Stegostoma tigrinum: one gene and its partners. The protein of the gene in region 3 interacts with the protein of the main gene of each other region in a pairwise test. Links are inferred from orthologs where the notes say so. Each region holds a gene or a part of one and is shown on either strand. Other genes may lie near its edges. The genes, in order: POU domain, class 2, transcription factor 1-like; nrf1; sp4.

Region 1 (11,233 bases), on a different chromosome or scaffold from region 3:
CAAGTCATGCATATGTCAAAGAGTAAAATTTAAATGAACTATGTTGGATAGACTCTCTCCTTCCAGTCATATAACTTTATCAATTCCGATAATCAAGCTAAGCGGGGCAAAGTAAAATCCCACTGCCTTCATCTCTCCTTGTAGCAACTTTGTTTCCTCTCCATTTTATCAATATTCATTGCTCTTCCAAACTTTCCTGCATTCGTTCTAAAACCTCCAAACACAGTTGTACACATTCATTGTACCTCAGAAAAATCAAATCTCACTACTGGGTAATATTTCACTCAGAGTCCAATCTACAGTGGCATTATGCACTTTTATACACATGCTGTAGCCCTGTAGCCTGAAGCTAAAAGGCAGAAGATGGTAGAGACTCAAGTTCTTTCATCACCACCAATTTCTGAAGAAGGGTCCTAACCCAAAACATTAACTTTCCTGCTCCTCTGATGCTGCCTGGTGTGTGGTCAAGCTCCACACCGTGTTGTGTCGGACTCCGGCATCTGCAGTTCTCTTGCTGTCTCTGTCCTTAGCGTCTGCCATTGACAAAGATACAGTGGAAGTGGTGTGTGTGTGTGTGTGTGTGTGTGTGTGTGTGTGTGTGTGTACACGCGAGAGAGAGAGAGAGAGAGAGAGAGAGAGAGAGAGAGAGAGAGAGAGAGAGAGAGAGAGAGAGACAGTGACATACACACAGAGCGGTCAGAACTACCATTTAACCGGTTTGGCCACATTTTATATAGACCTTTCATAGACATCAAGTTCTGGATTAGATTTTTATTTCCAAGAAAACAAAAATTTGAATGCATTTGTAAGACAGATTACAGAAAAATTTCAATTTGAATCTTACAATTTCTGCAATAATATTCATACTTATTCCATTCTGCATGCTCTACTCAACACAATTTGTAATCAATGTTCAAATTTACAAATTGCACTCCATGTCAGGTATACAGTCAGAGGGTGAAAACAGCAAATTAGAAATTACAGGAAGTACAAAAGAGACAAAATTTTCCTTTATATACCATTACATTCTAATGTGCCTCAAAACATTATCAATATCCTTCTTTTAAAATATAGGTTTTTGTAAGGCATACAGCCCAACATTTCTACAGTTTCCGGCACCTTGATACATTGTGGCTGGAAAGCCTTAGCCAATAATCTCTATACCTCTGCAGTGATTACCTCAAGCGTTAGTGTGTGCCTCAGCACACAGTCTTGGATTTTACCAGTGTATAAAAACTGGTTAAGAGCAACTCCTTATGGTCTAGAAGGAGATTCAAAGCTGGATCCACGAGCTCAGACACAGAAATGCTACCCACCGTACCATAAACCTCTCCATGAAACTCACTAACCCATCTATTATTTGACACACAATACCGTATCACTGGAATGTTCATTCCCACGATTATACAACTGTTAAGGCCCAAACTCAGACATATTCAGTGTAGTGGTTAAAGTAATAGATCAGCCACCCAAAGGTTGAAATAATATTATATATGAAACATAATTAAATAAAAGTGATAATTTGTGGAACCAGTCGTAAGTGAAGGAATCCTACTATAACTACAAGGGTTACACAAAACTTTTAAAATGAGTAGCAAGCAATTCAGCAGGTACAGAACTAAATGATAAATACACCACTTCCTCAGGATAATGTGGTAAAAAAATAACAGGAGATAATTACAGACGGTAAGCATAATCCTCAATTTGTAAATTTTAGGTTTGCTTCATTCTCCAACTGACCTTAGTAATTTTATTCTGGTCTTGCTCTTGATTTTGGCCTTTGAACCAGAGTTCCATTAAAAAGACGACAGCTACACGTTAATGAGACAGTAGAAACTGCAGATGCTGGAGAATCTGAAATAACATGGTGCAGAGCTGGATGAACACAGCAGGCCAAGCAGCAGAGGAGCAGGAATGCTGATGTTTCGGGCCTAGACCCTTCTTCAGAAAAGGGTCTAGGCCTGAAACATAAGCCTTCCTGTTCCATTGATGCTGCTTGGCCTGCTATGTTCATCCAGCTCTTATACCTTGTTATCTCAACTACATGTTAATAGTGGATTTAGCCAAAGACAGAAAAAAAACTTCAACATAGTTGAATCATATATTTTCCAACAGACTCTCAAAACAACTCAGAGCCCAGCAATACCCACAGAAAGAACATAAGAACTAGGAGTAGCAGTAAGCCATCTGGCCCCTCAAGCCTGCCCTGCCATTTAATAAGATCATGGCTGATCTTTCTGAGACTCAGCTCCATTTATCTGCCCACTCACCATAACCCTTAATTCCTTTACTGTTCAAAAATTTATCCAGCCTTGCCTTAAAAATATTGAGCGAGGTAGCTTCAACCACTTCACTGGACAGGGAATTCCACAGATTCACAACCCTTTGAGTGAAAAAGTTCTCCTGACCTCAGTCCTACACCTGCTTCTCTTTATTTTGAGGAGATGCCCTGTAGTCCTAGTTTCACCTGTTAACAGAAACAATCTCCCTGCTTCCACTTTATCTGTTCTTTTCACAGTCTTATATGTTTCTATAAGATCTCCCCTCATTCTTCTGAATTCCATGAGTATAATCTGAGTCTAGACAACACAGATTTTAAAAGAAGTTTGTGAAAGAAAATAATTTCCTGTAAACTATGAAAATGTCAACTCTAATAATGTAGCTACAAAGAACATTTGACATACTGCTTTTAGCTTTACAGACTTATCAGGAGTATTAATTTACAATCAAACCCAGAATAAGTTTTCTCAAAATAAAAATTAAATTTCAGAATATAGTTTATAAAAGACATTCAGCTGCATAAAAATTTACCTGGGAAAATCTTTTTTCCCATGGCAATATACTTTTTGCTAACCAAGTCACAGAGCAGTTGCAGCAGTGAATCCAAATTAATGCTTGATTAATATCACCTGTGGAGTTAAATGCAATAAATACAAAGTTGCACAAAACACCACTGATTAATAACTTTACTGCAACTATAGGTGTTTCATAATTTAAAAATCATAAAACACTGGTTAGAACACTGGACAATGTATTTTTGGGAATTGTCTCAAGATAAAAAAAATGTACACTTGTAAGTGGTGTTGTTGACCAATTTCATTCTTACGATCAGAAGTCCACAATAACCATTAACGCCAGTGAAATGATTTTAAGTAAATTATTTTACTAAATAAACTAGCAACCAAACTATCTACTGTATTCAGTGTGATATGTTGGTTTATAAATATAAACATCCAGGAGTATATCAAAATAGAATTATGAATACGCCTTTGCAATTAGTTGCCATTCTATTTCAGTAAATGCGGATGTTACGTTAAGTAATCTAATGCCAAGAGCGATTAAAAAAAAATAAAGCGAAACAAATCAGTCAAGGCCTAGATTGCTCATTAAAACCTCGGGGCAGATTTTAATAAGCATTCCTGCTTGCATTCTCCGTCATCTAAGCTCACTGCAGCTCATGACTGGGGAAAGTAAAGATGATCATCCAACTCAATAATAAAAAAAATTACACACCACCGTCACGTCAAGCTATTAAATCTATTAACCTAAACATGAGGGGCGTTCCTGCGATTTAAAAACAAACCCTCTTCAGCCTTTATTACATTCAGATTTTGATCCCGTTCAAACGAAATAAGGATTTTTTAAATATGTTCACTTTTCTCAGCCGTTCCGCATTTGCCGCACCCTCCGTAATATTTTCTATTAGGTTATCCCGCTTGAATAAACCGGGGGCTAATATTTGATCCCAAATTAGCATAGAACGTTTGTGCATCGATAAAAACAGTAGAAAATGTAAAACGCCGCGCCTTACTTTGCATAATTTTTAGTCAAAATTATCCTCCCCCCTGCCTTTCGCTTTCTCTTTATTTGTTCTATTTTTTTCTTCCCTTCCTTTTTCAATATTTTTTTAAAATTTTCTCGGTGGAATGCCCTTCGTCGAAACGACTGATCCGACTGTGCTTATACGAGAAAGTAGTATATTAAAGTTTTCTTTTTTGCTGGCTCCGCAATCAAATACAGTAATAAGGCAAAATAAATTATGCTAAATGGAAATATGAATATGTAAAATTAGAGCCATTACCTGGCTTTTCATCTTTGGACGCTCCATCCGCCATTTTGAATATCAATTCACTTTACCCGGAATTCCCCGCGTGCTGGGGGGCCCCGCGCTTCAATCAAAATATCATCAGCAATCCGCAAACTATTTACAACTCACTAACAAACAACAACACTCGCACTCGCGTTTCTTTAAAAAAAACATCATGTCCGATCGCATTGAAAACTTTATTTATTTATTTATTTTTCGAAAGGCGCGTCTTTGTCGTCGCCCCCGCCGCTTCGGTCCTCTTCGGCGGAAATGAACGGAAATTAACGACCGGATTTTTTTTAACGGTATATCTCCCCAGTTATAATGGTGGGATAGATTTGTGCGTGTGTTTCTGTGTTTGTATATGTGTGGTGTCGATTTTTAAGACCGATCCCAGCGTGAAAAGCGGTCTCCTAATTTTCTTTTTCTCTTGTCTTGTGTTCCGAAGATTACCGAATGTATCCCTTTCTGCCCCCTTCCCCTCCTCCTACCCCACCCTATCCCACCATTTCCGCTGTTGAACTGTGCCCCATGGATGCCCCTTCAACTGTATTCATTCCTCCTCTGGTATTGTATTCCGCTGTTTATTAAAATGGTCGGTAATCGCTTTCCTTCTTGGCGCGTACGGAGACGGAAATGGACGGAAAATTACGAGTGGTAGAGGGGCGTTTTTTTAACATATACGTAAATGGTTCTGGGATCGCCGATTTTAGCACATCTGATGCGTTTGCGGTCCTTTTTTTAAAAAGAATTTCTACCTTTTAAGCAAAAACAATATTGCCCATGTGAGGGCAAGGGATCCTGTTTTTTTTTGTAACTGTTAACACCTGTCAAAAGAGAAAATGAAATCACACCTCCAGTGAATCTAAACGCTGAAAAAGGCTCCCAACTGCTTGTTATTTTAGGACAATGGGAGAATGCAAACTGCGCATTTGGGACTTGACCGCCCAAATGAAAATAGGGTCGAGAGATGTAAAGCTGAATGCCTCCTGTAATCTTAATTTTTATGCTGTTGCTGGTGGCCGTCACTTTGGCAGTTTATATATGTAAATTAAGCTTTAATGAGATTTAGAATAATTCATGCAGTTTATACTTTCGGTGAGTTTGAGCAACTCACCTGTTACCTTGGAAATGTCTCCGTAGTATTAGTAGCTAAGTTTACATTTTCCCCGTGCCTTTTACAAACGTACCTTCATCCCCACTACATTAAATCTGAACGACAACTAGCTAAAATCTTAGGTTCTTTTAATGTGTTGGAGCCTGGTTACAAATATTTGTAAAATATTATTCATAGCGTGAAGTATTAATTGTTATGAAAATGAATATCCAGAATGTCACATGCACTGCAGTTAGTAGCCATATAACAATGCAGCAGCGTGGAGAACTGTTTTTAAAAAAATACATTTAATGAAGCTCCATCATTTTGAATCAAGGTGTGATTATTTCAATCCTCTGGAAACCAGAAACACAATCTCAACCCTAACTGAAGTGACTACATTAACTGAATATATGATGTCTTCTGGATCATCTTGACCTTTAAAGTGTCAGCATATATTAATGATGGGCATTGTCACATCTGAAAAAGATGATCATGTATTTAAGTCCCACTCCAAGGTTTTGCACACAACCTTGGCTGATACTTTTATTTGATGCTGGGAGATTGCTACATTGCCAAGACTTGCATTTATATAGTGCTTTTCATGACCACCAAACATTTCAAAGTGTTTTACAGCCAGTTAAGTACTTTTCTGAAATTTACCAGCTGTTGTGATTTATGAAATGCAGCAGTGAATTTTTGTCCACTGACAGGGTCCCATAAACAGCATTGTGATGATGACCAGATTTTTTAATGCATTTTTTTATTAGTTAATGCATTGATTGGGTCATTGGAAACAAAATTCCCTGCTTTTCTTTGAAAAATAATATTAAGAGAGCTCTTATGTCCATGTGAGCACAGATAGGGCCTCAGTTTAATGTTTCATTTGGTTGACAGTATCTTCAATTGTGCAATACCTCATCAGTCCCATACTGGAGTGTCAACTTTTTTGATTTTTGTGTTCAGCTCCAAAGTGAGTGGGTGTTGAACCCACAGTTTCCTGGCTAAGGGGCAAGAGTACTACCAACTGAACCAGAGTTGATCCTTTCTTAAACTGAGCCTTTGCATGCTCTTTCAGGAATTTGGAGAAGATCCTAATATTGATGCAACACCCAAAGTTTCATTCAAATACATTATCTGACATTTTCTAAGTGTTGTCCATATGCAAACTTGCAGCTGGAATTTCCCTACAATACAAAAAGAGAATTGTGATTTTCAAAAAAGAACATTTGATAATGTGAAATACTAACTTGTCAGTCAAGGGCAGTTGAAGTTGAATGTAATTTATGAACATGGATAGATGGTTGTTTAAAGGACAGGAAACAAGAAGCAGAAATAAACATAATTTTCAGGTTTTCCAGCAACTTTGTTTTTATTCCTGATTCACAGCATCTGCAGTTCTTTCAGTTTTTTTCATAATTTTCAGGTTGGCAGGCTTTCTTTTCACGGAGTGTTGCAAGAATCACTGCTGGTATCTCAGCTACTTACAAACTATGTTAATGTCCTGAATGCAGGGAACAGGCATATGATCCAAGATTGTTAAGACAAAGCTGTGTGGGAAAGTAACCAATGAAGAAGATGCAAAGAGTCTGCAGAGGGATATCAATAGGATAAGCGAGTGGGAAAGAGGTAGCAGATGGCTCAGAATGTAGGAAAATATGAAGCTTACTCCCTCTAGCAGGGAGAGCACAGCAATTAGGGACAAACAACAAATGCTGGCCTCTTGAGCAATGCTCACATTCCTTGAATGAATAAAAATAGTGTGGTATGAAGCAATTAAATGCTGATGTCCAGAACTTTGAGTTGCCCTTGTAGAAGACATGCTGAAATATAACATTCAGATCTAGCAAGCAATTATGAAGGCAAATTATACTGTTGTTCTTAGAACAGAGAACAGTACAGGCCCTTTGGCCCATGATGTTGTTCCAAACTTTTACCCCGAACCTAAGGTCTATCTAACCTCGACCCCTACCTTATACTATCATCCATATGCCTTTCTAATAGCTGCTTAAATGCCCCTAATGAGGCTGACTCCATTACTGTCTCCGGCAATGCATTCCATGCCCCTTCCACTCCCTGAGTAAAGAACCTACCGCTGACGTCTCCCCTATGTCTACCTCCACTCACTTTAAAACTATGCCCACTCGTAATAGCTACCTCCACCCTAGAAAAAAGTCTCTGGCTGCCCACTCTCTATCTATATCTGTGATTATTTTGTACACCTCTATCAAGTCACCTCTCATCCTTCATCATTCTAAAGAGAAAAGCCCGAGCTCTCTCAACCTTTCCTTGTAAGACCTTCCCTCCATTCCAGGCAACATCCTGGTAAATTTCCGCTGCACCTTTTCCAACGCTCTCACATCTTTCCTGTAATGAGGCAACGAGAACTGGATGCAATACTCCAGATGTAGCCGAACCAGGGTTTTGTATAGCTGGAGCATAATTTCACGGCTCTTGAACTCGATCCCTCTATTAATGAAAGCTAACACACCATAGGCCTGCTTAACAACTCTGTCTACCTGGGTGGCAGCTTTTGGGGAAGTGTGGACTTGAATCCCAAGATCCCTCTACTCCTCCACACTGACAAGAATCTTTCCATTAACACTGTATTCTGTTTTGAAGATTTTCCTTCCAAAACGAATCACCTCACACTTTTCAGGGTTAAACTCCATCTGTCACTTCTCAGCCCAGCTCTGCATCCTATCGATGTCCCTTTGTAACCGAGAACAGCCCTCGGCCCACCTTGTATTGTCCACAAACTTACTAATCCACCCTTCCACTCTTACATCCAAATCATTTCCAAAAATCACAAATAGAAGAGAACCCAGAACAGACCCTTGTGGTACACCACTCGTAACTGAGCACCATGTTGAATATTTTCTGTCCACTGCCACTCTTTGACTTCTCAGGGTCAGCCAATTCTGAATCCAATCTGCCACATTTCCCCTTATCCTATGCCTCCTTACTTTCTGCATGAGCCTACCGTGGGGAACCTTATCAAATGCCTTACTTAAATCCATGTGTACCACATCCACTGCTGTACCTTCATCCAAGTATTTGGTCACCTCTTCAAAAAATTCAATAAGATTTGCGAGGCATGATCTACCCTTCACAAATCCATGCTGACTATCACAAATCAAACTATGCCTATCCAAGTGATCATAAATCCCATCTCTTAGAGCCCTTTCCAATAATTTGCCCACCACTGACGTAAGACTAACTGGCTTGTAATTTCTGGTGTTATCCCTATTCCCTTTTTTGAACAAGGGAATGACGTTTGCCTCTCTAATCTTCCAGCCCTATACCTGTGGACAGTGAGGACAAAAAGATCATTGCCAAAGGCCCTGCAATCTCTTCCCTCCCTTCTCATAGAATCCTTAGGTAAATCCCATCAGGCCTGGGGGATTTATCTGACTTCACATTCCTCAAAATCCCTAATACATTTTCCTTACTAACATCGACTTCCTCTAGCCTACCAGCCTGTTTCACACTGTCCCCTTCTACAACTAGTCCTTCTCAGTTGTCAATACTGCAGAAAATTATTCATTGAGGACCTTTACTATCTCTTTAGGCTCTGTGCACAAATTTCCTTTACAATCCTTGATTGGCCCTACCCTTTCCCTGGTCATTCTCTTATTCCTTACGTACATGTAAAAAAGCCTTGAAGTTTTTCTGGAATTGAAACCTTAATTGAAAAAGGGCTGGAATGGAAGACTAGTATACAGTTTAATCTCTATACCTAAGAAAGGACATACTTGGCTTAGCAGAGGTACAACTCTGGGTTGAGAGTCTGGTCCTATAAGGGTAGATTGAATCGACTTTTTTTTAATTTAGAGCATATGGCATTATCTATTTGAAATATTCTGAGACGTTTAACAAAGTAGATTGTAAGACAGAGTGTGATTGAGCTCAGAATGTTAACTCGGCTTTCTCTCCACAGATAGAACAGAGAACAATACAGCACAGAACCGGCCCTTTGGCCCTCGATGTTGCGCCGACCTGTGAACTAATCTAAGCCCCTCTCCCTACACGATCCCAGGATCACCCACATGCGTATCCAAGGACTGTTTAAATGCCCCTAATGCAGCCAGACCTGCTGAGTTTTCTCTAACAATTTCTGTTTTTGGCTTCAGGTTTCTCGTGTCTGAAATTCTTTGTTTTGTATTCGATGCTGAGAGGTTTCTTTGCCTGTTTGGGCAGCAGTGTCTCAGGATATGGAGATTGCTGTTTTGAACTGAGATGACGAGAAACTGCTTCACTTAAAAGAACACAATCCAAAGGGTTGATTAAGACAGAGGTTAACAGATTTTTGAACTCGAAGAACATGAAGGGATGTGTGGATCAGGTGGAAAAACTGGGTCAAAAAGTGGATAACAAAGTGTGGAGCTGGATGAACACAGCAGGCCAAGCAGCATCTCAGGAGCACAAAAGCTGATGTTCCGGGCCTAGACCCATCATCAGAGAGGGGGATGGGGGTGAGGGTTCTGGAATAAATAGGGAGAGAAGGGGAGGCGGACCGAAGATGGAGAGAAAAGAAGATAGGTAGAGAGGACAGTATAGGTGAGGAGGTAGGGAGGGGATAGGTCAGTCCAGGGAAGACGGACAGGTCAAGGAGGCAGGATGAGGTGGTAGGTAGGAAATGGAGGTGCGGCCTGAGGTGGGAGGAAGGGATGGGTCAGAAGAAGAACAGGTTAGGGAAGCAGAGACAGGCTGGGCTGGTTTTGTGATGTAGTGGGGGGACTGGAAGAACTGGGCTGGTTTTGGGATGCGTTGGGGGAAGGGGAGATTTTGAAGCTGGTGAAGTCCATATTGATACCATTGGGCTGCAGGGTTCCCAAGCGGAATATGAGTTGCTGTTCTTGCAACCTTCGGGTGGCATCATTGTGGCACTGCAGGAGGCCCATAATGGACATGTGTTCTGAGGAATGGGAGGGGGAGTTAAAATGGTTCGCGACTGGGAGGTGCAGTCGTTTGTTGCGAACCGAGTGGAGGTGTTCTGCAAAGTGGTCCCCAAGCCTCCGCTTGGTTTCCCCAATGTAGAGGAAGCCACACCGGGTACAATGGATACAATATACCACATGGCAGATGTGCAGATGAACATCTGCTTGATGTGGAAAATCATCTTGGGGCCTGGGATAGGGGTGAGGGAGGAGGTGTGGGGGCAAGTGTAGCACTTCCTGCGCTTGCAGGGGAAGGTGCTGGGTGTGGTGGGGTTGGAGGGGAGTGTGGAGCGGACAAGGGAGTCGCGGAGAGAGTGGTCTCTCCGGAAGGCAGACAAGGGTGGGGATGGAAAAATGCCTTGGGTGGTGGGGTCGGATTGTAGATGGCGGAAGTGTCGGAGGATGATGCGTTGTATCCGGAGGTTGGTGAGGTGGTATGTGAGAACGAGGGGGATCCTCTGGGGGCGGTTGTGGCGGGGGTGGGGTGTGAGGGATGTGTTGCGGAAAAAACTGGAGTTGAGTTTGAGGATCAGCCATGATCTTAGTAAATGGTAGAACAGCCCCAAAGGACTATCTCCAGAAATATTTGTCAAGTTTCATGCCTATAACACAGCGACAACAGTTAAAAAGTTCTCAATTGGTTGCAAAGCACATTGAAACATGTTTTTGTTCCTGTACCACTTTGACACAGACAACTACATTACCTTATCACAAAGTCTGTCCTGGATTGTACAGCTGAGTAAGACAGTATTGTTTGGTTTCCCTGTTACCCATTCGATTGTAGTCAGTGTATCTCCAGTAATGGTTTCTCTTTCCAAATGTACCATTAACTTGGCTCCAAATATTTATTACCTTCCCCAGTTTATAATCTATATACTGTAAACTGGTGACATCATCTCAAGACACGGTCCTGAACTTCCACCAGCCTGAGACAACTCAGGAGACTTTTAAGAAAGACTGGTGAGTCCCTTCCCTCCAGTTTCAGAGTTTCACGTCCACCTCTGGCAGATTCTATTCTTGCAAATGAAAAAGGGACTGCCATTGGAAAATCTTAACTTGACAGATTTTCCTGACTAGAAACAAACTAAATTTTCATTTTTCCAATAGCCT
Region 2 (10,865 bases), on a different chromosome or scaffold from region 3:
GATATGCAATTCAGTAGACAACTTAGTGCTCCCATTTGCCTGCTACCCTTATTAGATAACTTGAGGTATGGAAGGCGCAGTAAAAGAAGCCTTGCTAAGTTCATGCAGTGCATAATAGGTGGTATACATCATTTCCACTTTGTGCTCATGGAGGAGGAGGTGAATGTTTAACATGATTCCGGCTGCTTTGCCCTAAATACTGCTGAACCTTTAGAATTTTGTTACAGCTGCACTCATCTAGTTAAGTAGATATTTCACCACAATCCTGACTTTTGCCATGTAGACAGACTTTGGAGTTAGGAAGAAAGTTTCATAGTGTCGATGGTTTTGACCCACTTTTGTAGCCACACCATTTACATAGCTGGCCAAGTTGGGTTACTGGTCAGGATATTTATAGTGATTCATCAAGGCCAATGACACATTCATCAAGAGCATGTGGTTTGATTCTTCTTTTCCATAAAATCTTGAAAGAGTTGGCCATTCAGCTCATCGAGTTTGCTATGCCATTCAATGACTTTATGGCTCATTTGATAATCCTCATCTCCACCCTCCTATCATTTCCTTTTCAACCCTTGATTCCTTTAAAATCGGTCTATCTCAGTCTTGAATATATTAACTGACCTAGCAGTAAAGAATTCCAGATTCAATGCCCTGAGATTAAATTCCTCATGTTTTAATTGTGCAATCCTTTATGCCGAGATCACAACCTCTGGTCCCCCACAAGTGGAAGCAACCTTTCTGTATGTACCCACTCGTATCGCCCAATAATTTGTTTATTTAAATAAGGCTGCCTCTCATTCTTCCACATTCCCATGAATTGAATTCCAAATGCCCAAACGATTCAACCTCTTCTCATAAAAGACAATCCTGTCACAGCTGATATCAGCCTAGTGAATTTTTCTCTGGACTGCCTCCATTGGCAGTATATCTTTTATTAAATGAGGGGCCCGAAAACTCTTTACTGTATTCCAGCTGTGGTGTGAATAGTATCATGTACAGTTTTAGTGAACCCCGCACACATTCCATTTGCCTTCTCTGTTGAACTCGAATGCATTTTTGTGATCCATGCACAAGGGCACCCAAATCCCTCTGTTCTACAGCCGTGAACAATCTTTCCCCTTTAAATAATATTTAGCTCCCCCATTCTTCTACCAAAGTATATATAGTACATAGAACATAGAAAAGTACAGCACAGTGCAGGCCCTTCGGCCCACAATGTTGTGCCGTGGAATAATCCTAATCCAAACATAAAATAATCTAACCTACATTCCCCTCAATTCACTGCTGTCCATGTGCATGTCCAGCAGTCGCTTAAATGTCACTAATGACTGCTTCCACGACTACCACTGGTTAACTATTCCATGCGCTCACAACTCTGTAGGTGAAGAACCTCCCTCTGACGTCTCCTTTATACCTTCCTCCTAACACCTTAAAACTATGACCCCTCGTGGCAGTCAATCCTGCCCTGTGGAAAAGTCTCTGGCCATCGACTCTATCCATGCCTCTCATTACCCTGTACACCTCGATCAGGTAATCTCTCTTCCTCCTCCTCTCCAGAGAGAAAAGTCCGAGCTCAGTCAACCTCTCTTCGTAAGACAAGCCCTCCAGTCCAGGCAGCATCCTGGTAAACCTCCTTTGCACCCTCTCCTAAACCTCCACATCTTTCCTATAATAGGGCGACCAGAACTGGACACAATATTCCAAGTGTGGTCTCACCAGGGTTTTGTAGAGCTGCAGCATAACCTCGCGGCTCTTAAACTCGATCCCCCTGTTAATGAAAGCCAAAACACCATATGCTTTCTTAACAACCTTATCCACCTGGGTGGCAACTTTGAGAGAGCTATGCACTTGAAAACCAAGACCCCGCTGTTCCTCCACAGTGCCGAGAATCCTGCCTTTAATCCTATATTCAGCATTTAAGTTCGACCTTCCAAAATGCATTACTTCGCATTTATCCAGGTTGAACTCCATCTGCCATTTCTCAGCCCAGCTCTGCATTGTCAATGTCTCACTGAAGCCTGCAATAGCCCTCGATACTATCAAAGGCACCTCCAAACTTTGTGTCATCAGCAAACATACTAACCCACCCCTCAACCTCCTCATCCAAGTCATTTATAAAAACTACAAACAGCAGAGGCCCAAGAACAGAGCCCCGCGGGACACCAGTCAGCACTGACCTCCAGGCAGAATACTTACCATCTACAACCACTCTCTGCCTCCTGTCAGCCAACCAATTCTGAATCCAATATAACTTCACATTTTCCCACATTTTAGTCCATCTGCCAAGTTTTTGCACACTTGCTTTACCTGTCTATATCCTTTTGCAGAATCTCTATGGCACTACAATTGTTTACCACGTACCACTTCAAGGCTAGAATTGCCCAGATTTTGCTGCTAGCAAGCAGACTACTTTATTACAAAGAGTTGTAAATAAATGATCTTTGGACAATCAATAAACATTTTCATTTCTGATTTTATGATGGAAGGGTGTCTGCAGACAATTGTTTACTGTTAAGAAATGAAAGTTGTCCCCTACACCAGAAGAACTCCCTGTACTATTTCTCCTATGGCGTCACAGCATATTCTATATCCAATTGAACACATACGACTTGAGTTTAATATCTTGTCCAAAATGTAGCAATTTTGATATTCTCTCAGTACTATATTGAAGGTAGTCTAAATTAGTTCTTCATCGCAAAACTACGATCTTTCTGAAACAAGTACTAATAAACACCAAGCAAGTGTAACACAGATCCCTTAAGCAAATCATGAGTTAACTCTTGGTAATCTAAAAATCATCTTTTTTTTTAAAAAAGTCATACAGTCACTCCTCCATCTATGCCTATGTAATCTTCAATACCACGGATCTTTTAACTTAACACTTTTCCAATGAAATTCCTAGAAAATCCCATCAGTTAATTAGAGTTTCATGCTGACTATCCTTTATTAGCCTTTAACATTAACAAAGTGTGTTTTTTTTGTGTGCTTTAGCAGCTTTCCCACTGTTGTCTGGAGGTTAACTCCATAATTTTACTTCACAAGTGTAATTTGTAATCAGTACTTCCAAAGAAAGTTAGCAGATTATAATTAACACCTCTGCTATTTCATCATTAATTTCACTCAAGTTTTCTACCATGTAGACCATCTGAGCCTGAAGCTTTATCAGCTAAGTGAATCAACGTTTTCAATGTAGTTTATACTAGCAGATTCTCCACACCTTCCCCGGTACTCTTGTAGCCAAGGCCTACGTTGTTTTATAAATACAGGTTGAGTGTCTACAATGCTTTATTTAAAAAAAACCCCTTGCTTTAGATACTCGGGGCCAGGGGGCGAGGGGGGGGGAGTGGAACCCTCCAGTTAGTTTTTAATCAAGTAATGCAGATAGACTATCCAGTCTTTTTAAAAAAAAGATTTTCGATACTTTCAGTATCTTTTAATTATATTTTTATTCAGCATTATTCCAGTAAGACTGCCAGAAATCATTCTAATTGCACAACTGAGGGCATTCTGGCTAAGTTTGCAGATGATACAAAGATCGGTAGAGAGACATGTAGTATTGAGGATATGGGGAGGTTGCAGAAGGATTTGGACAGGTTAGGAGAAAGGGCAAAGAAGTGGCAGATGGAGTACAACGTGGGAAAGTGTGAGGTCATGCACTTTGGTAAGAAGAATACAAGCACAGACAATTTTCTAAATGTTGAGAAAATTCAGAAGTCTGAAGTGCAAAGAGACTTGGGAATTCTAATCCAGGATTCTGTCAAGGTAAACTTGCAGATGGAGTCAGTAGTTAGGAAAGCAAATGCAACTTTGGCATTTATTTTGAGAAGATTTGAATATAAAAGAGGGATGTACTTCTGAGGCTCTGTAAGGTTCTGGTCAGGCCATATTTGGAGTGTTGTGCGCAGTGTTGGGCCCCATACCTCAGGAAAGATGTTCAGACCTTGGACCAGGTTCAGAGAAGGTTCACAAGAATGATCCCAGGAATGAAAAGCTCAACATATGAGGAACATTGGAGTACTCTGGGATCATACTCAATGGAATTTAGAAAGATGAGGGGGGAGATCTAATTGAAATTTACAGAATACTGAATAGCCTGGACAGTGGATATTAAGAAGATGTTTCCATTGGTAGGAAAGACTGGGACAGGATGGCACAGCCTTAGAGTCAAGGGAAAACCTTTTGGAATGTAGATGAGGAGAAACTTCTTCAGCCAGAGAGTGGTGAATCTATGGAATTCACTGCTACAGTAGGCTGCACAGACCAGGTCATTGAGTATATTTAAGACAGAGACAGATAGGTTCTTGATTGTCAAGGGGATCAAGATTAGGGAGAAAGCAGGAGAATGGGGTTGAGAAACTTATCATCCATGACTGAGTGGCAGGACAGACTTGATGGGCAGCTCCTAGTTTTTCTGGTCTTACAACCCAACAATTTAAGAATTTCCAAACCTCTACAAAAGGGGAAGGATAGTACAAGCAAGAAGAAGAATCTGAGTTAGGGCATCCTTAAACCATTTAAAAAAGATTGAACAAAAAACAACTGACTGAAGAGAAGCATTTTCTTTTAAGAACTGAAATATTGTTTGAAGTATTCAAGATTTGTTTGAAATATAGAAATTAACCTAAACACAATGATTTCAATAAAAACTCATTTCAAGCAAATCACAATTAGGAACAAGGAAGTAAAATATTTTAAAATGTACAAATGATAACAAATCTTACAGCTACAACACCAATAAATAAACAAAACTCGCATCAAACTGCAATCTTTGCAAGGTCAGGGCTCATTTGTTTGAAGTTATAAAATGAAACATTCTCAACTGGATAATCCTTCCATTTTGTAGAACTGCACATCAATCTACAGGATTGTTAATGATACATTAGACTCTAATGATTACTAAAAACCTTTTGGGTTAGAGCAGGTTGCTTGAACTCTCGATCGGGGACGCATTTTGAGTAACAATATTTTAAGAGTTGCAGGAATAAACCCCAAGGTGTTAATTCTTTTTTTCAAAATAAAACATTTACAACGGCCCCACTGCGGACAGGGCCCAGGCTTTAGGATTAAGCATCTGCTCCTCTCTCCAGCCAGATCAATGCTCAAGAGTTTATGCATCCCCCTCCCACTCGCACGCACTCCTTTCTTCCTCCTCCCTTAGTCCCGCCAAAATCCAGCCCTGCCAACAGGCAGGCCGACTGCGGCCTAGGCCCTCTTAGTTTGAGATTTAAGCTCTTCCCCGCCGTCTAAAAGCGACTCTCAGGACTCTTTCTCGCTCTTTTATGAAGTAAAACACCCGTTTCAGCGACCGGGCAGCTTTTGGGGTCCGATTTGCGACTGCGCCAGGGCTGAAATTTGGAGAATGCGCGGTGAGCACTAACCTCAGAGCGGCTGCGCCGATGGCCTGGAACTCGGTCTCTCTGTGCCTGCGCTGCCAGCTCCAACCTGGCCCCTCCCAACCCCCACCCTGCTCGCCCCAAGCAACGCACGCACCGACCAGTGACGTAAACGGTCACCGCACCGCCCATGTACGTCACACGTGACGACGCGAAAGCTTGACGTCCAGCCACCTGCCACGGTTGCTGCGCATGCTCGGTACCATGGAATTGGAGGGCTTGCAAACCAAAGTCATCCGAATCCCCAAAGTTTTTGGGGAGCTTTAGTGGCAAAGTAGTAATGCCCTTAACAGTTCTGAAGAAGGGTCACTGGACCAGAAACGTTAACTGATTTCTCTGTACAGTTGCTGCCAGGCCTGCTAAGCTTTTCCAGCATTTTTTTTGTTTCTGTTAGTGACTACCAGCATCCGCAGTTCTTTCGCTTTTTATTTGGTAATGTCCTTACCTCTGAGCCAGGAGACCCAAGTTTAAATCCTACCTAGTCAAGAGGTGTGTAATAACATCCTTGAACAAGAGCATTTACTGCTGCCTTTCCGAAAATGTGACAAGCTCAGGGTGCTTCTAACGTTAGAATCACCAGATTTGAAGGGGCCTTTGTGGTAATGGTCCTACTTCTGAGCCTGGAGACCCAGGTTTAAGTCCCACCTGGACCAGAGGTATCTAATAGCATCCCTGAATATGGTGATATAGCAAATATATATTTTAAAAGACATTTACAGGTGCTTTATTTATTTCAGCAAGTGTGACAAGCTTGTGGTGGTTGTAACGTGAGATTCACTAAAGTTAAAGGGGTCCCTGTGGCATGGCAGTATTCCTACCTCTGAACCAGGAGGTCCAGGTTCACATTCCACTTGTTCCAGACATGTGCCTGAGCAGATTTATTAAAACCATCTAAAAGTCAGTCAGGGAACCTTGCTCCAAATAGAGGCTCTTGTGCAGTGGTAGTATACTTATGTCTTGGCTAGGAAGCCTGGGTTCAAATCCCATCTCTTCCAAGGTGTGTCAGAATGTGTCTGTGTCATAACATAGCATGTTAGTACAGGTTGAGTAAAAATATCTAGAATCACATAATTGAAGGCTGTTGTGGTGCAGTTTTAGTGTCCCTACTGCTGGGCCAACAGCTTTGGATTCAAGTTCTACCTAGCTGACGTTGTCTGAACAAGTTGATTAAAAATATTGCAAATCATAAAATTGTATGGTGCAGAAGAAGCACATTCAGTATGACTTGCCTGCACTAGCTCTCGAATGAGTCTTGTGACTTAGTGTCATTCTCCCTCCTTTTCCCCATAAGTGTCCAGTGCCCTCTTGGAACATGTGAATGAGACAAAGTGGCCTGACGTGTCTTTTCTGCTACAAAAGGGAGGTCAAGTAAGACCAGTACATTCATTTTCAAGTTTTACAATTTTTCCTTATTAGTTCGTTCCTGTGGTTACGTACTCAGATAAACCTGCCCCACCAGATTTCCATGCGTGTGCTCCAGAGCCTAACTACACGCCGTGTGAAAAGACTTTTGTCGCAAACTTTCTTCTGCAAACTACCTTGTACCTGTGCCCTCTTATTCTTAATCCTTTTATGAGAAACAACAGCTGCTGTCTGTTTGAAACTAAAACAGAAATAGCTCAGTTGGTCTGGTAGCATCTGAGGAGAGAATGTAGAGTCAGTGTTTCGGGTCCAGTGACCCTTCTTCAGAACTATTAGGAACTGCAGATACTGGAGAATCTGAGATAACAAGGTGTAGAGTTGGATGAACACAGCAGGCTGAGCAGCATCAGATGAGCAGGAAGCTGACGTTCCAGGCCTAGGCCCAAAATGTAAGCCTTCCTGCTCCTCTGATGCTGCTCTGCCTGCTGTGTTCATCCAGCTCTACACCTTGTTATCTCTCTTCTTCAGAACTGATTTGTTTCATAACAGACCACTTGTCTAAACCAAGTTAAGTTAGTGTAATTGCAGAAAATGCTGGAAACACTCAGCATTCATGGACAGAATTAATGTTTCAGCTCAATGGCAATTAGAGCTGAGGAAAGATACAACTATAATAAATATAATTGAGGAAGGGGAAGAAGAACAATGCGGTAAGATCTATTACATGATTACTTATTACATCTCTCTTTTTTTGTCTGTTCTGGTATAGGGTACCCTAAACATTAAATCTGTTTCTCTCTCTCCACAGATGCTGTCAGATCTGCTGATTATTTCCATCACTCTGTCACTGTTTAAGATTTCCAGCAACTACACTATTTTGCTTTTGTTCCAAGTCCATGCAGACAGACCCAATTCAGACATGTAAAGAAATTCTTACACACTGCTGTGGATTCTAATATAGCAGCGTATTATTTCAGAAATATGCAAAGTGTCGAAGGGTAAACATCATTCCATCAAAGAACCATTTTTCATGGAATCCAACAAAGATATTTGTGAGCTGTGGACCCTAGTGCAGATCCTGTGGCAACACCATCTATTTGGTAGTACATGGTGTCATTGAAACTGAATTCAACTGCACAGCTGCTGAGTTCATAAGTTCAATTAATACTGATTCACACACTGGTGGTGAATCTACATTGTCATGAAATAGTGCTGCAGCATAGATATTTATAGCATTCTTGAATGATATTTCAATGAGTTGGCTAGCATTGTCAGATGAGTACATGGACACGACATTGGGAGGACTTTAAACTAACTTAGCAGGTGTGTGGGAATGAAGAGAGAATATTAGAGAGGAATACCAGAGTATACAAAATGCTAAGACAATAGTCAGCTCGTAGGTGAAGGGAAAAAAGTAATGAAGTCTAAATCAGTTAGTGTGCATGCACGGATTGTAATAAATAAGGTTGGAGACACATCATTTTTCAATCTTTTCATTCACCGGTTTAGGCTTCATCCATTCAGTGTCTCTGAAGGTGTTTCTTCTTTCCTTTTCAAGATGGGAATTTGCAGAGAGAGTAGCCAGCTGCTCAGGACTTTCCTTTATTTCTCCATCAGAATGGAGAGAAAGTAGGATGATTTCTCCGTCACAGACTGGCTGTTTCTTCTGTACTACCTCAACACAAAACTGTAGCCACTCGCCTAGGAACCAGTCAAGATATTGTCACTGTGCAGAGTACTCTGGAAAACACACAGCTGATCCTGGTTGAAAAGCCAAAACAAAATCTTGTCACTGATCACAACTGCTCCTGCACACACAATCGTGGAACTAAGGTTTGTAGCAGGTCATGATCATAATCATAGAATCCCTACAGTGTGGAAACAGCCCTTCAGTCCATCAAGTCCACACTGACGCTCAGACCCACCTGCGTATAACCCACCTAATCTACACATCCCTGAACACTAGGAAATTTAGCTTGGCCATCCACCTAGCCTGCACATCTTTGGACTGTGGGAGGAAACTGGAGCACCCAGAGGAAACCCAAGCAGGCACGGGGAGAATGTGCAAACTTCACACAGACACCCACCCAATTGAATCTGGGTTCCTAGCACTCCGAGGCAGCAGTGAGCAGCTAACCATTGAGCCACTGTGCTACCTCAAAAAAAAGGAACATTTCACGAATTTGCACAAGGATGACACGTGTCAGGTAGAAAATACAATTGAGGGCCAAGAAGAATACAGAACGGTCAGAGGGTGAGAAAGAATGTGAGAGAAGCAGAAAGGAAAATTTGATAAAAGACTGACAGCCAACATAAAGTGGAATCCCGAAATTTTCACGGACACATCAATAATTTGAATAAAAGGTAAAGAGGACTAGGGACAATTAAGGACAAAAAAGGAGGTTATACAAAGGTAAGAGACATGTCTAAGGTGTTAAATGAATACTTTGCTTCCATCTTTAACAAAGAGTTTGATACTACCTGGGTTAACATGACAGAGGAAGAAGCTCTGTAACTGGAACAATTCTAAATTAATGAAGAAGTATTGGATAAGCTATTGATACTTAAAGTCGGAAGGCACCAGGAAAGAAAGAGATGCATTTAAGGATATTGAAGGAAGTGAGAGTGGAAATTGCAGAGTCATTGGCAATAATCTGTCTGTGTTTCCTAATTTCAGAAGAGATGGCAGAGGACTGGACAATTACAAACATTATGTTGTTCAAAAACAGTTGTAAGGATAAAGCCAGCAATCACAGATCAGTCAGTTTAATTTCAATCATGGAAAACAGAAGTCATGAAGAAAATGTGGGTTGTTTAGGAACAGGCAGTATGGTTTTCTGAAGGAGAACCCTTGTTTGACTGACATACTGGAGTTTTCTGTACAGGTAACCGAGAGGTCAGTGAGGGTACCACTGTTGATGTGGTGTATATGAACTTCCAAAAAGTGTTTGATACAATGATACAACATGACGCAATAGACCTGTGAGAAAAGTTATAGCTCATGAAATAAAAAGGACAGTAGCAATGTGATGACAAAACTGGTTGAGTACTAGGAAATAGGGAATAATGATCAATGGATATTTTTAACGCTGGGGGAAGAATTGTCGTGGAGTTCTCCAGGGGTCAATATTTGGAGTTAATAAAGTGTGAAGCTGGATGAACACAGCAGGCCAAGCAGCATCTCAGGAGCACAAAAGCTGACGTTTCGGGCCCAGACCCTTCATCAGAGAGGGGGATGGAGTGAGGGTTCTGGAATAAATAGGGAGAGAGGGGGAGGCGGACCGAAGGTGGAGAGAAAAGAAGATAGGTGGAGAGGAGAGTATAGGTGGAGAGGTAGGGAGGGGAGGGGTCAGTCCAGGGAAGACGGACAGGTCAAGGAGGTGGGATGAGGTTAGTAGGTAGGAAATGGAGGTGCGGCTTGGGGTGGGAGGAAGAGATGGGTGAGAGGAAGAACAGGTCAGGGAGGCAGAGACAGGCTGGGCTGGTTTTGGGATGCAGTGGGGGGGGGGAGGGGAAGAGCTGGGCTGGTTGTGTGGTGCAGTGGGGGGAGGGGATGAACTAGGCTGGTTTTCGGATGCAGTGGGGGAAGGGGAGATTTTGAAGCTGGTGAAGCCCACATTGATACCATTGGGCTGCAGGTTCCCAAGCGGAATATGAGTTGCTGTTCGTGCAACCTTCAGGTGGCATCATTGTGGCACTGCAGGAGGCCCATGATGGACATGTCATCTAAAGAATTGGAGGGGGAGTTGAAATGGTTCGCGACTGGGAGGTGCAGTTGTATGTTGCAAACTGAGCGGACGTGTTCTGCAAAGCGGTCCCCAAGCCTCCGCTTGGTTTCCCCAGTGTAGAGGAAGCCACACCGGGTACAATGGATACAGTATACCACATTGGTAGATGTGCAGGTGAACCTCTGCTTAATATGGAAAGTCATCTTGGGGCCTGGGATAGGGGTGAGGGAGGAGGTGTGGGGGCAAGTGTAGCACTTCCTGTGGTTGCAGTGGAAGGTGCCAGGTGTGGTGGGGTTGGAGGGCAGTGTGGAGCGAACAAGGGAGTCACGGAGAGAGTGGTCTCTCCGGAAAGCAGACAAGGGTGGGGATGGAAAAATGTCTT
Region 3 (10,773 bases):
TCAAAAATCATTGAGTTGAAAACTGCCTTACAGACTTGCTCCTTAATGATTTGCAGAAGAGTCAGGAAGAAATAGTATTAAAGTTTGATTTATGTCAGCAAAACAACACCACTTAAGATTTTAGGCTAACTCAAAACATAAGACAAGCTGCAGGTTGGGGGCTCTTGTGGAGCAGTGCTGCTGTGTCTACCACTGGGCCAAAAAGCCTGGGTTCAAGTTCCATCTGCACCAGAGGTGTGTCATCGTATGTCTGAACAGGTTCATTAAAAATATCTACAAGATCAAGGACAAGAAAAAAGTGATAGTCAAGTCAGGATTTCTCAAACCCATGATCCAACGTTTGTTGAAAGTTCAATCCCTCTTACACATAAAATACAAAGCTATCAGAAAATGAGAGTTTTTGTTCAAACATCCTTTAAGTTGATACTGTTCAAGTAATCAAACCAGTTACTGTCTAAAAGCAAAAACCTTTTGATAAAGTTGAAAAAGTTTTGTCTTTTAAAAACCAAAAAGGATGAACATTAAAATAATAATGGAAGGGTCACCTGACCCAAATCATTAACTGTTCTCTCCTTCACAGATGCTACCAGATCTGCTGAGCTTTTCCAGCATCGTTTTTGTTTTTGAGTTTAAAAATAGTATTTTCTTAAGCCATTATAAAGCTTCCTTTAAAAATTATTTTTAGTTGGAGATTTTGATCCTCAGAAGACTTTAAAAATGCCATTTTTGGTAATATATCTCTTACTATCAAAAGATTATACAAAAAGGTACAAATTATCAGGATGCTGAATCTTAAACCACCACTAGATTCATAGCTTGATCCTAAATATTGTGGCTTAGCACTGACAATATTTTGGTAAACCATTACCCAAGAAACAAGTACAATGCAGTGTAGAGCCGCAGCAACACAGCAGGCCAGGCAGCAGAAAAGTTGACATTTCGGGTCAGGACGTTTCTTCAGTCCTGACCCAAACTGTCAACTTTCCTGCTCCTCTGATGCTGCCTGGTCTGCTGTTTTCCTCCAGCTCCAGCATCTGCAGTTCTAGCTATCTCTGAAGTACAATCCAAACAGCCATGCTCACAGGAATAAAAATATTACTGATGTAGAAAGATTCAACTCTAAAAAGGTGCAAGTGTCAGGAAAATAATTTTGTATAGGTTGTATTGTAGAGCATCATATCAGTGGCTTAATATAAACAGAAGGAAATGTATAGCAAGCCCAGTTCCCATAAAAAAGGTTTTGCTGCATATTTTGATAAGGCAATTCCTTTTTAACCAGGTAGAGTGAAATTAAATGCCTAAAAAGTATAAATCTGAAATGAACAAAATAACACTACGCAAGAAACAAGAGAGATCAGGTTATTTGGAACTTACTTCCCCGAAGGTTGACACACACTCTCTGCAAACATCTATTATAGAAAAGATTTTCTGCAAAATGTAAATTCTGAGCAAAGACTTCACAGAAATTCAACTTTAGTATTTCAGGAATAAACTAATCCTATATTTCAATGTGAACTGCACATACAATTGTAGCTGTCCAAACTAGGTCACTTTTTGAAATCACAATTCCCCTACACCATACAAAACTACCAACAGCCACCACACTCCTCTTTCTGTAAGCCAAAAGCTTCCAAGTTTGGTTTATACAACGTGCAAACATATCTGACAATTAATTTGTAGATATTTTGGTTTTTAAAAAATACTTGATATAAACCATGCCAACCTTAAGTAATTTAAACATATCTGTAATCTTAAATGTAAAATATTTGACAAGTATGGTCATACCTGTTAGATTGGCGATGGCCACTGGTATTCCTTGCACCTGAAGTCCTCCTGAACTCAAGCTGCCAATGTTGACTGTTTGAAGGTTAGGAACAGAAGCAAGCTGCGCAGCACTTAGGTTAATGGTACCACCAGTAACAGTTACAGGGGTAATTTGGGCAATCGCTGTTTCACCAGAGTTACTTGAAGACACCGGGGTCACAGTCAGTTGTTGAGCGTTCTGGATCTGTACATTTGAAAGGTTCTGGATGTTCTGCAGCTGTATGGTTTGCCAGTTTATCTGCCCAGACGGTGTGATGCTCGGTGCCCTAATGATGACCTGAGTGGGATTCTGCAGCGTGGACAGCTGAAGGGTCTGGGGCTGCACAGCCTGCAGGGCCTGGCCTTGGATGGTGGCGACGGCCTGTTGCTGCGGGATCTGCGCCTGGACGATCTGCTGCTGTTGGAGGGGGGACGGCAGTTGGAGCTGCTGACCCGCTTCTGGAAGGTTCTGCAGGCCGTTAGGCTGAGCGGCGTCCCCCTCCCCTTCGGCGGCAGCCTGCGGCTCCTCTTCGGGTCCCACCGGCTCGCTGAAGACGGCGTCCGAGGACTGGAGCAAGGAGGCGGCGGCGCCTCCGGGCAGCGGGGAGGCGGTGCTGGCTGTAGAAGAGGCCGGTGGAGCCTGGGGAGGTGGAGATTCGGGCGTGTTGTTCACCGCCGAGGCTCCGCCGGAGATGGGCGTGGACAAGGCCTGAGCTCCGCCGTTGGAGAGGCCGCCATCCCCGGAAGGTTGGACGAACTGAATGGATCCTCCTCCGGCCGCCGCCATGTTGTTGATGGGCACGGCCAAAGTCACGCCGCCTCCCAGATTAATGGGCAGCGTGGCGACCATCTGAGCCTGAGCTCCGGAAATGTGAACACCCTGTAACTGCAAAGGGATGGACAGGCCACCGCCGCCGCTGCCGGTACCGGCCGCTCGGATCTGGATGGGCACGGTGTTAGCCAGGGGCCCGGTCTGAGGGGAACTCCGGCTCGGCGGGGCCAGCAGGCTCCCCGCCGACACGATCTGGATCGACTGCTGCTGCTGCCCCTCGGCCCCCGCCGCCGGGATCACCTGGTACTGGAGGCCGGAAGACGAGGTAGACGACGACGACGAGGAGGAGGAGGCCGCCACCACCGCCCCGGAGCCCGCGCTCACCACCATGGCCGTGTTCGGGAGGCTCTGCACCGGCACCACGTTGTACTGACCGGCCGCCGACACGATAGGCCGGATGCGGTTGGGCGATCCGGCCGGGACATCCTGTCCGCTGGTACCGTTATTGCCGCCTCCGTCGTTGTTGTTGCTGCTGCTGTTGCCGGCTCCGCCGCCGTCGCCACCTTCTCCTTCGCCGCCGGTCGTGGCCGCCGACGCCCCTTGCTGCTGAATCGCGCCTTCTTTCGTCGTTGAGGGCCCGGCGGCGATGATCTGCCAGCCGTTTCCCGACAGCTGAGCGGTGACCAATTCGAGTTGTTGTTGCTGCTGCTGCTGCTGGACCGCTCCCGAGCCCTGGTCGATAACGAGCTGACCGCCCTGGAGCGCGGTGGAGGCGGCGACGGCCGCCCCTTCCGCCGGCCCCGGGGATCCGATCTTGCTGCAAGTGGCTGCGAGGAGGGCGAGAGGAGAGGGCTGGGTGTCCTACCCACATAGACACACACAGTGGGCGGGTTTAGAAAGGAAAGAGTGGGTGTGAATTTACATTAGCACAAAAAAGGGGCTTCACTCAGGAAGTACAGAGCAATTAACGACAAAACAGTTGCATTTCGATCGTTATAACAAATTTAAAAAGCGTACATTTCTAGTTTGCTTCATCAGGAAGTAGCTGCTGAGATCTGCGGGAGAAAAATGGCTTCACGTACAAATGCAACAGAGACAAGTGGTTAGCAACATTAGTTCAGGAGCAGCAGTAGTTGTAACACAGAAAGCATTTTCATCTGAACACGTAAAAATAAATTATTACAAGCATATATTAGAAGTCTGCATTTGAAAATGGAGTTTCCATTACCTGTGAGCCTGATGTTTTGATTTGCAAATATTCACCAGGTTTCCCTCCTTCAGTTAGGGTGGCCATACTTTCCTCCTTTTGATCTGTGAACAAAAAAATACAAATAATCGTAATAAAATAAGTTCATTTTTTGTGAACTGCACGTTACTTTAACATAGTTGTCTCAATCAACCCATCAATTCCCCAGGAAGGGAGGGGAGGAAAAAACAGAAACGTGGTTTGAAACCCGACCCAGTGGATACAAAGTAACACCCAAAAGAGGGTTGTCTCAAGACAACTCACTACTGTAGATTCTTGGTGTCAGGCTGATCAATTAGGAGAAAGCTTGTCACCAAGGTAAATTGACCTTTTCCCTCTTGTTTTTTTAAGGAGGGAGGGATAGAGGGAGGGTTACGTACCACTCATTCTGCATTGCTTAAGAAGGGAAAAAAAATAAGGCCAATACAAAATGTAGGCAGAACAAGGCAGGGCTGGCCCTTTCTTTCCACGAATGGCTGTTTGCGTAGGACGGAATAATCAGGTTCCTCTTGATTGACGGAAATGGAGCTTGGAGGCGGAACCTCGAACCCGGCGACAGCACCAACGAACCCGGAGACTTAACGTTCCGAGCTCGATCCACAAGCTGATTGGATCTGTGGCCGTGGGACTGGAATGGCGGGGGCGGTGCGCAGAGCATGCCGGGGGTTGTAGTTTCTCTCCTGATAAACTCGCTGGGTGGCTGGGACCGAGGGCTTAGCGCCTATGGTTAGGCTGTCACGCATGTGCGATGGGTGCAATATGTATTGACGCGTTCCCCGCCCTAGTTCTGCCCTTCCCTCTCCCCCTACATCAGGGTAGGCTGGGCGGAAGCGAACAAAGGCGGCACTTTGTGTGCTTTTGGTGGGTGGGCGTTTTTCGTGCGCTGTACTTAAAGCGTCAGGGTTGTATTTGTTCCGATTCAGGCTTGTGATGGCAATCTCAAGTTTTTAGGAGTCATTTAAATCCTGGTTTAGATCATTGGAAGCCACATGTTGTTTTGTAATGCAGGTACAGGAGGTTTTGTGTTGCAGATACTAAGTGGATGCAAATTTTGTATTGCAGGTGCAGAGTGGTTGCAGTTTTGTAAAGTAGGCAAATGAAATTGCAGAGGCTCTGGATGTTATATTTTGTGTTGGTGATACCTAAGGGCTGCAAATATATCTGTGTGATAAACCCATTAATTACAGTTCAGCCATGAAAATATTTTTGGATAACATTGAGTGATTGGAAAAGTATGTGCTACTAAGTAAAAGTCAACATTCATTTGCTAAAGGATAATAGTCTTTGGTTAACTTGGTTGAGTTATTTAAATGAGTGTGTGTGTGTGTGCGCGCGCGCGCGCACTTCCAAAAACATTACAATAACCCTCTTTCTAAAATATAAATTTGTATGATTACAGGTATATTAGTAGTGTGAGTACTAAATTGGCTAAAGAACAGAAATCTCTGGTGGTGATGTAGATCTTTACTGTAGATCAATGTGTTGTTCTCCAGGTGTTGATGTTAGGAACAATGTTGATCAGATGTACCTGGATCTATGGGGCATAATTTTTAGGTTTGAAGATGGAAGCTCTGGATATAATAAATAGATAAGAAGGTGGTAGTAATAGACTATGAAAATACTTTATTTCAAACACAAGGCAGATTGAATGCACTGCAGAGTAATTTGAAATTAGACATTTTGGTAGGAAGAGGGGTATTTAAAGATACAGTTTTAAAGTTTGATTAACTCCTTCATTGGATGTGATCATTACTAGCAAAGCTAAGACCAGAAAGTCTTTGGTGGTGCACGTACCTTTGTAAGTGATAGTTGAAATTTTTTTTTCAGAAAAGCATTTTGAATCCATGGTGTTGCTAATAGAGATAGGTACTAAAGTAAGGAAGTTAAACTAAGTAAATCTTTGTAGACAGTGTTTACCTTTCAAATAAGGTGTTTTATTTAATTTTAGTCACCATATTTTGGGAAGGATATTGAGATCTTGCTGACCAGGTGGGTCAGATTTTCTAGAATTGTACTGGGATTGAAGAATCCATTCTTTTGAGAAACTAAAGTTGATTTCCTTCACATTGAAATTTTACAGTATGATTTAGTAGAGGTATTCAAAACAATGAACAGTTCAAGTAGAGCAACAAAAGTTTCCAGTAGCAAAATGCCTGGTATCAAGAGGGCACAGATTTAAGGTGATTTAATATTGAGGCACATGAACCAAAGGCAACATGAGGAAATAATTTATTACACTGCAAGCTACTGTGATTTGAAATCCATTCACTGAAAGGGTTTTTGGAATAGATTCAAAAGTGACATTCATAAAGTGTTATATGAATATTTGAAGGGTGAAATGTATGAAATTATGCCAGACAATGGGGTAAGGCTGAGATGGAAGAATTAGTTGGAGAACTCTGCCAAAGAGCCAGCACAGGCATTCATTTGATGCCTTTGTGATGCGGAGTCATTTTTGTAATCCATATGTGGGGTGCTGGAGCCAATTTTATGATGCAAGGAGAAGGATGAACGAATGAAGTTTCTAAATAATGTGTGGGGAAATTGGCTGAATATGGTTTTACAATACAATGTGTGAGAATGATGTTTTCCTCGTGTTTTCCTATTCTGTGTGTGTGTGTGTGTGTGTGTGTGTGTGTGTGTGTGTGTGTCTGTCTGTCTGTCTGTCTATGGGACAACGGCATTAATACATGTCAGGGGAATGCAACTTTGTACTATGCTCAGGTCGAAAGGTGAAGGTGCAGTTTTGACTGAGGTTGAAGGAAATATAAATGTTTACACTCCTGGAAATCAGTTTGGGCCGCTGGGATGCTGTTTTGATCCAATCTTTAATGATTGCAAGTCTAAAACCCGGATACATTTGAAAATACCATTTAATTGAATACTGAACAGCCAGCCAATGATGTGGAGGGCATTTTGAAGGTTGGAGCTTTTGCAAATAAATTTGTGTGAAAATACAAACACTTTTCATTGCCAGTGGCTGTGATGATCTTGTACTTTGCCTAAGTTTTAGACCATGTTGTTTTATTATACTTATTTCTGCACAGTCCTGATTTTAATTCATGTTATAAGGGATTAAAGCATAGAAAATTGTATACTGCAATAAGTATCAAAAATCATCTAGATGTATTTTTGGCTATCTGGATGATAATGTGCTTTCTTTAATTAGGTAGGTTCCACATTTAACTCAACCTCTATCGGCAATGAATATTATGTTTATTCATACGTAATTTTACAGCACCTCCCCAGTAGGGCATGTCGACTACTGATAATAACTGCAGCATTTACTTTTAGAATTCTACAGTTGGGTTTTAGAATATTTGCTGTAAAAAAAAAAAATTGCACGCTGAAACTGATAGGCAACACGATGAATTCAATTATTTCTAATATTACGTCATTAGTTGTCACATTACTAAAGTTCTTATTGAAAATAACTTCTGGAATCGCAAGAGTTGGGCTGGACTTGATTTGCAGTTGGGATGAAACTTTGGGCCAGAGTTGTTAACATTCTTCAAACTGTCAGTTATTACAATTTGCATCTTTCAGAATGGAATTGGAAATGGATTTATTTCAGAATAGTATTCCAATACTATACCAGTAATCTGTGCCAAGTCATGGGTATGGCGATGGGTAGTTCATGTGGAATGAATTTCCTGAGGAAGTGGTGGATGTAGGTACAGTTACAATTTTAAAAGACATTTGGATAAGTACATGAATAGGCAAGGTTTGGAGGGATATGGGCTAGGAGGAAGCAGGTAGGACTAGTTTGGGATTATGTTTGACACGGATTGCTGTATGACTCTAAGTAACTGCCCATGAATAGATCAGGGTAGAATATGTGACAAATGTAGGAATTGGACCAGTAAAGAGTATTTTCAAAAACTAGCAGATTATTGAGGGAATATGTGCCCCACTGCATAGTTGTGTTTGTGTGCATTGCCAACTCACTTATCATTTCTTTGAATGGCACTAAGCACAATTTTTGAATTGATCTGTACCAACATCGTCAAAAAAAATCCTATTGTTTGGCAGCCAGGTGATCTAGCAGTAAAGACACCGATGCTTTGATCCTGCATCCAGGATTCCCTTCTATGTGACTCCTGAACCACTGTCCTTGGCTGTTTCTTTATCTCAAAAAGCATGTGCACACAAACTTGAATGTGCAAATCAACAGCTGAGTTGCCCCTGATTATTTGGACCTCTGAGACCTTTTTTTTTGCCACAGATATGTGTATGTATGCTGGAAGAGTTATCTGTGTGGGTGTTATCTCGGAACAGGTTGTTTGGAAAAGATAATTGACAAAAATGGAATGATGCAATTTGCTAAATGTTTAGCTCTGTAATAGAATTTATATGGCAGGATGTTAAGCATGTGGCTAATGTTGCATGATTCAAACAAACTTTGCCCTTCAAGCCTGCTCTACCATTTTAAAAAATCATGGTTGATCTGGGGTGGCCTCAATTTCACATTCCTGCGTTTTCCCCCATTAACCTTTCACTCCCTCACTTAACAAGAAACCATCTCTGCCTTTAAAAATATTCAAGGACTCTGCTGCCACCACCTTATTGGGAAAAGAATTTTAAAGTCTCTCAATCACAGTTTGAATAAAGAAGTTCTCCTTAATGCAGTTTTAAATGGACAACGCTTTTATGTTGATACAATGACCCCAGTTCTAGATTCTACCACAAAGAAACATCCTGCATGCATCCTGTCAAGACCCCCTGGGATCATGTATATTTCCATCAAGTCACCTCTCACCCGTCTAAACAGCTGACATAAACCTAGCTTGTCACACCATTTGTTATAAGATAACCCACCCACTCCCAAGTATCAATAATTGTTTCCAATGCATTTGCATCATGTCTTAAATAAGGAGACCAATATCATACACAGTACTCCAGATGTAGTATCACATGACCTGAAGGATGACTGTGATCTTTTGTATTCAATCTGTTCTGAATAAACAAAAGAATCCTATTAGCTTTCTTAATCATTTGCTGCACTTGCATGCTAACCTTTGACAAAGTATGCCCTACGACTCTGGTTCTCTCTGCATCTCAACTCTGCAATCTTTCTCCATTTTGGTGGTATGCTTGTTTTTAATTCTCCCCAAAATGGGCAATTTCACATTTTCCCACATTATTCTCTATTTTCCAGATCTGTGTCAAATCACTCACCTATCCTGTCTACTTTCCCGTGGTAGTCTCCATTATTCCTCTTCACAGCTTCCTTTCCTATCTAACTTTGTCATTGACAAATTTAGCAATCATAATAATCAGTCCTTCACTTGAGTCATTTGTATAAATTGCCCCATCATTGATCGCTGTAGTGCATCACTATTAGATGTTGCCAACCAGAATTTTGCTGAATATTTAAGGAACAATAAACAATCTTGTCTAATAAAGTGAATTTATAAATAAAATTTTGACTTGCAGTGATTGTACATCAGATTACTGTTTCCTAAACAATCAAAATTTTCTGTTTCTATCACAGTTCCTCTACACGCGAATGTATAAGTACATCGGGGTGGCACAAGAGGTTAGCACTGCTGTATTACAGTGTCAGGGACTTGGGTTCAATTCCAGACTGAGATGACTGTCTGTATAGAGTTTGCATGTTTTCCCCACGTGTGTATACACTTCTGCCACGTGTTTCCCTTTCCTCCCACAGTCCAAAGATATGCAGTTTAGGTGAATGGGCCATGCTAAGTTGTCCCTTAGTGTCCTGGCATGTGCAGGCTAGGTGGATTAACCATGGAAACTGGTTATAGAGATAATGTGGGTTTGAGTGGGATGCTCTTCATTGGATCAGTGCACACTCAATGGGCCAAGATAATGAAATGTGAGGCTGGATGAACACAGCAGGCCCAGCAGCATCTCAGGAGCACAAAAGCTGATGTTTCGGGCCTAGACCCTTCATCAGAGAGGGGGATGGAGTGAGGATTCTGGAATAAATAGGGAGAGAGGGGGAGGCGGACCGAAGATGGAGAGAAAAGAAGATAGGTGGAGAGGAGAGTATAGGTGGGGAGGTAGGGAGGGGATAGGTCAGTCCAGGGAAGACGGACAGGTCAAGGAGGTGGGATGAGGTTAGTAGGTAGGAGATGGAGGTGCAGCTTGGAGTGGGAGGAAGGGATGGGTGAGAGGAAGAACAGGTTAGGGAGGCAGAGACAGATTGGACTGGTTTTGGGATGCAGTGGGTGGGGAGTAAGAGCTGGGCTGGTTGTGTGGTGCAGTGGGGGGAGGGGACGAACTGGGCTGGTTTTGGGATGCGGTGGGGGAAGGGGAGATTTTGAAGCTGGTGAAGTCCACATTGATACCATTGGGCTGCAGGGTTCCCAAGCGGAATATGAGTTGCTGTTCCTGCAACCTTCGGGTGGCATCATTGTGGCACTGCAGGAGGCCCATGATGGACATGTCATCTAAAGAATGGGAGGGGGAGTGGAAATGGTTTGCGACTGGGAGGTGCAGTTGTTTATTGCGACCTCCGCTTGGTTCGCAATAAACAACTGCACCTCCCAGTTGCAAACCATTTCCACTCCCCCTCCCATTCTTTAGATGACATGTCCATCATGGGCCTCCTGCAGTGCCACAATGATGCCACCCGAAGGTTGCAGGAACAGCAACCCATATTCCGCTTGGGAACCCTGCAGCCCAATGGTATCAATGTGGACTTCACCAGCTTCAAAATCTCCCCTTCCCCCACCACATCCCAAAACCAGCCCAGTTCGTCCCCTCCATCCACTGCACCACACAACCAGCCCAGCTCTTCCCCTCCACCCAGTGCATTCCAAAACCAGTCCAACCTGTCTCTGCCTCCCTAACCTGTTCTTCCTCTCACCCATCCCTTCCTCCCACTCCAAGCCGCACGTCCATCTCCTACCTACTAACCTCATCCCACCTCCTTGACCTGTCCGTCTTCCCCGGACTGACCTATCCCCTCCCTACCTCCCCA

Evidence for each region.
Region 1: the proteins of sp4 (region 3) and POU domain, class 2, transcription factor 1-like interact in binary tests that used the Homo sapiens proteins (3 or more experiments, as listed by UniProt). The two-hybrid records come from large-scale screens. The link is inferred for Stegostoma tigrinum from reciprocal best matches to the Homo sapiens genes SP4 and POU2F1.
Region 2: the proteins of sp4 (region 3) and nrf1 interact in binary tests that used the Homo sapiens proteins (3 or more experiments, as listed by UniProt). The two-hybrid records come from large-scale screens. The link is inferred for Stegostoma tigrinum from reciprocal best matches to the Homo sapiens genes SP4 and NRF1.

What each region holds. Positions count from the first base shown.
Region 1 is NC_081365.1:33,891,069-33,902,301, reverse strand, and holds the start of POU domain, class 2, transcription factor 1-like, read right to left. Parts: upstream 4,482-11,233; 5' UTR 4,116-4,481; coding exon 4,082-4,115; intron 1-4,081. UniProt on the Homo sapiens protein: Transcription factor that binds to the octamer motif (5'-ATTTGCAT-3') and activates the promoters of the genes for some small nuclear RNAs (snRNA) and of genes such as those for histone H2B and immunoglobulins.
Region 2 is NC_081378.1:16,034,565-16,045,429, reverse strand, and holds the start of nrf1 (nuclear respiratory factor 1), read right to left. Parts: upstream 5,460-10,865; 5' UTR 5,379-5,459; intron 1-5,378. UniProt on the Homo sapiens protein: Transcription factor that activates the expression of the EIF2S1 (EIF2-alpha) gene. Links the transcriptional modulation of key metabolic genes to cellular growth and development.
Region 3 is NC_081355.1:74,776,979-74,787,751, reverse strand, and holds the start of sp4 (transcription factor Sp4), read right to left. Parts: upstream 4,334-10,773; 5' UTR 4,209-4,333; coding exon 4,202-4,208; intron 4,153-4,201; exon of another isoform or gene 4,086-4,152; intron 3,887-4,085; coding exon 3,804-3,886; intron 3,437-3,803; coding exon 1,786-3,436; intron 1-1,785. UniProt on the Homo sapiens protein: Binds to GT and GC boxes promoters elements. Probable transcriptional activator.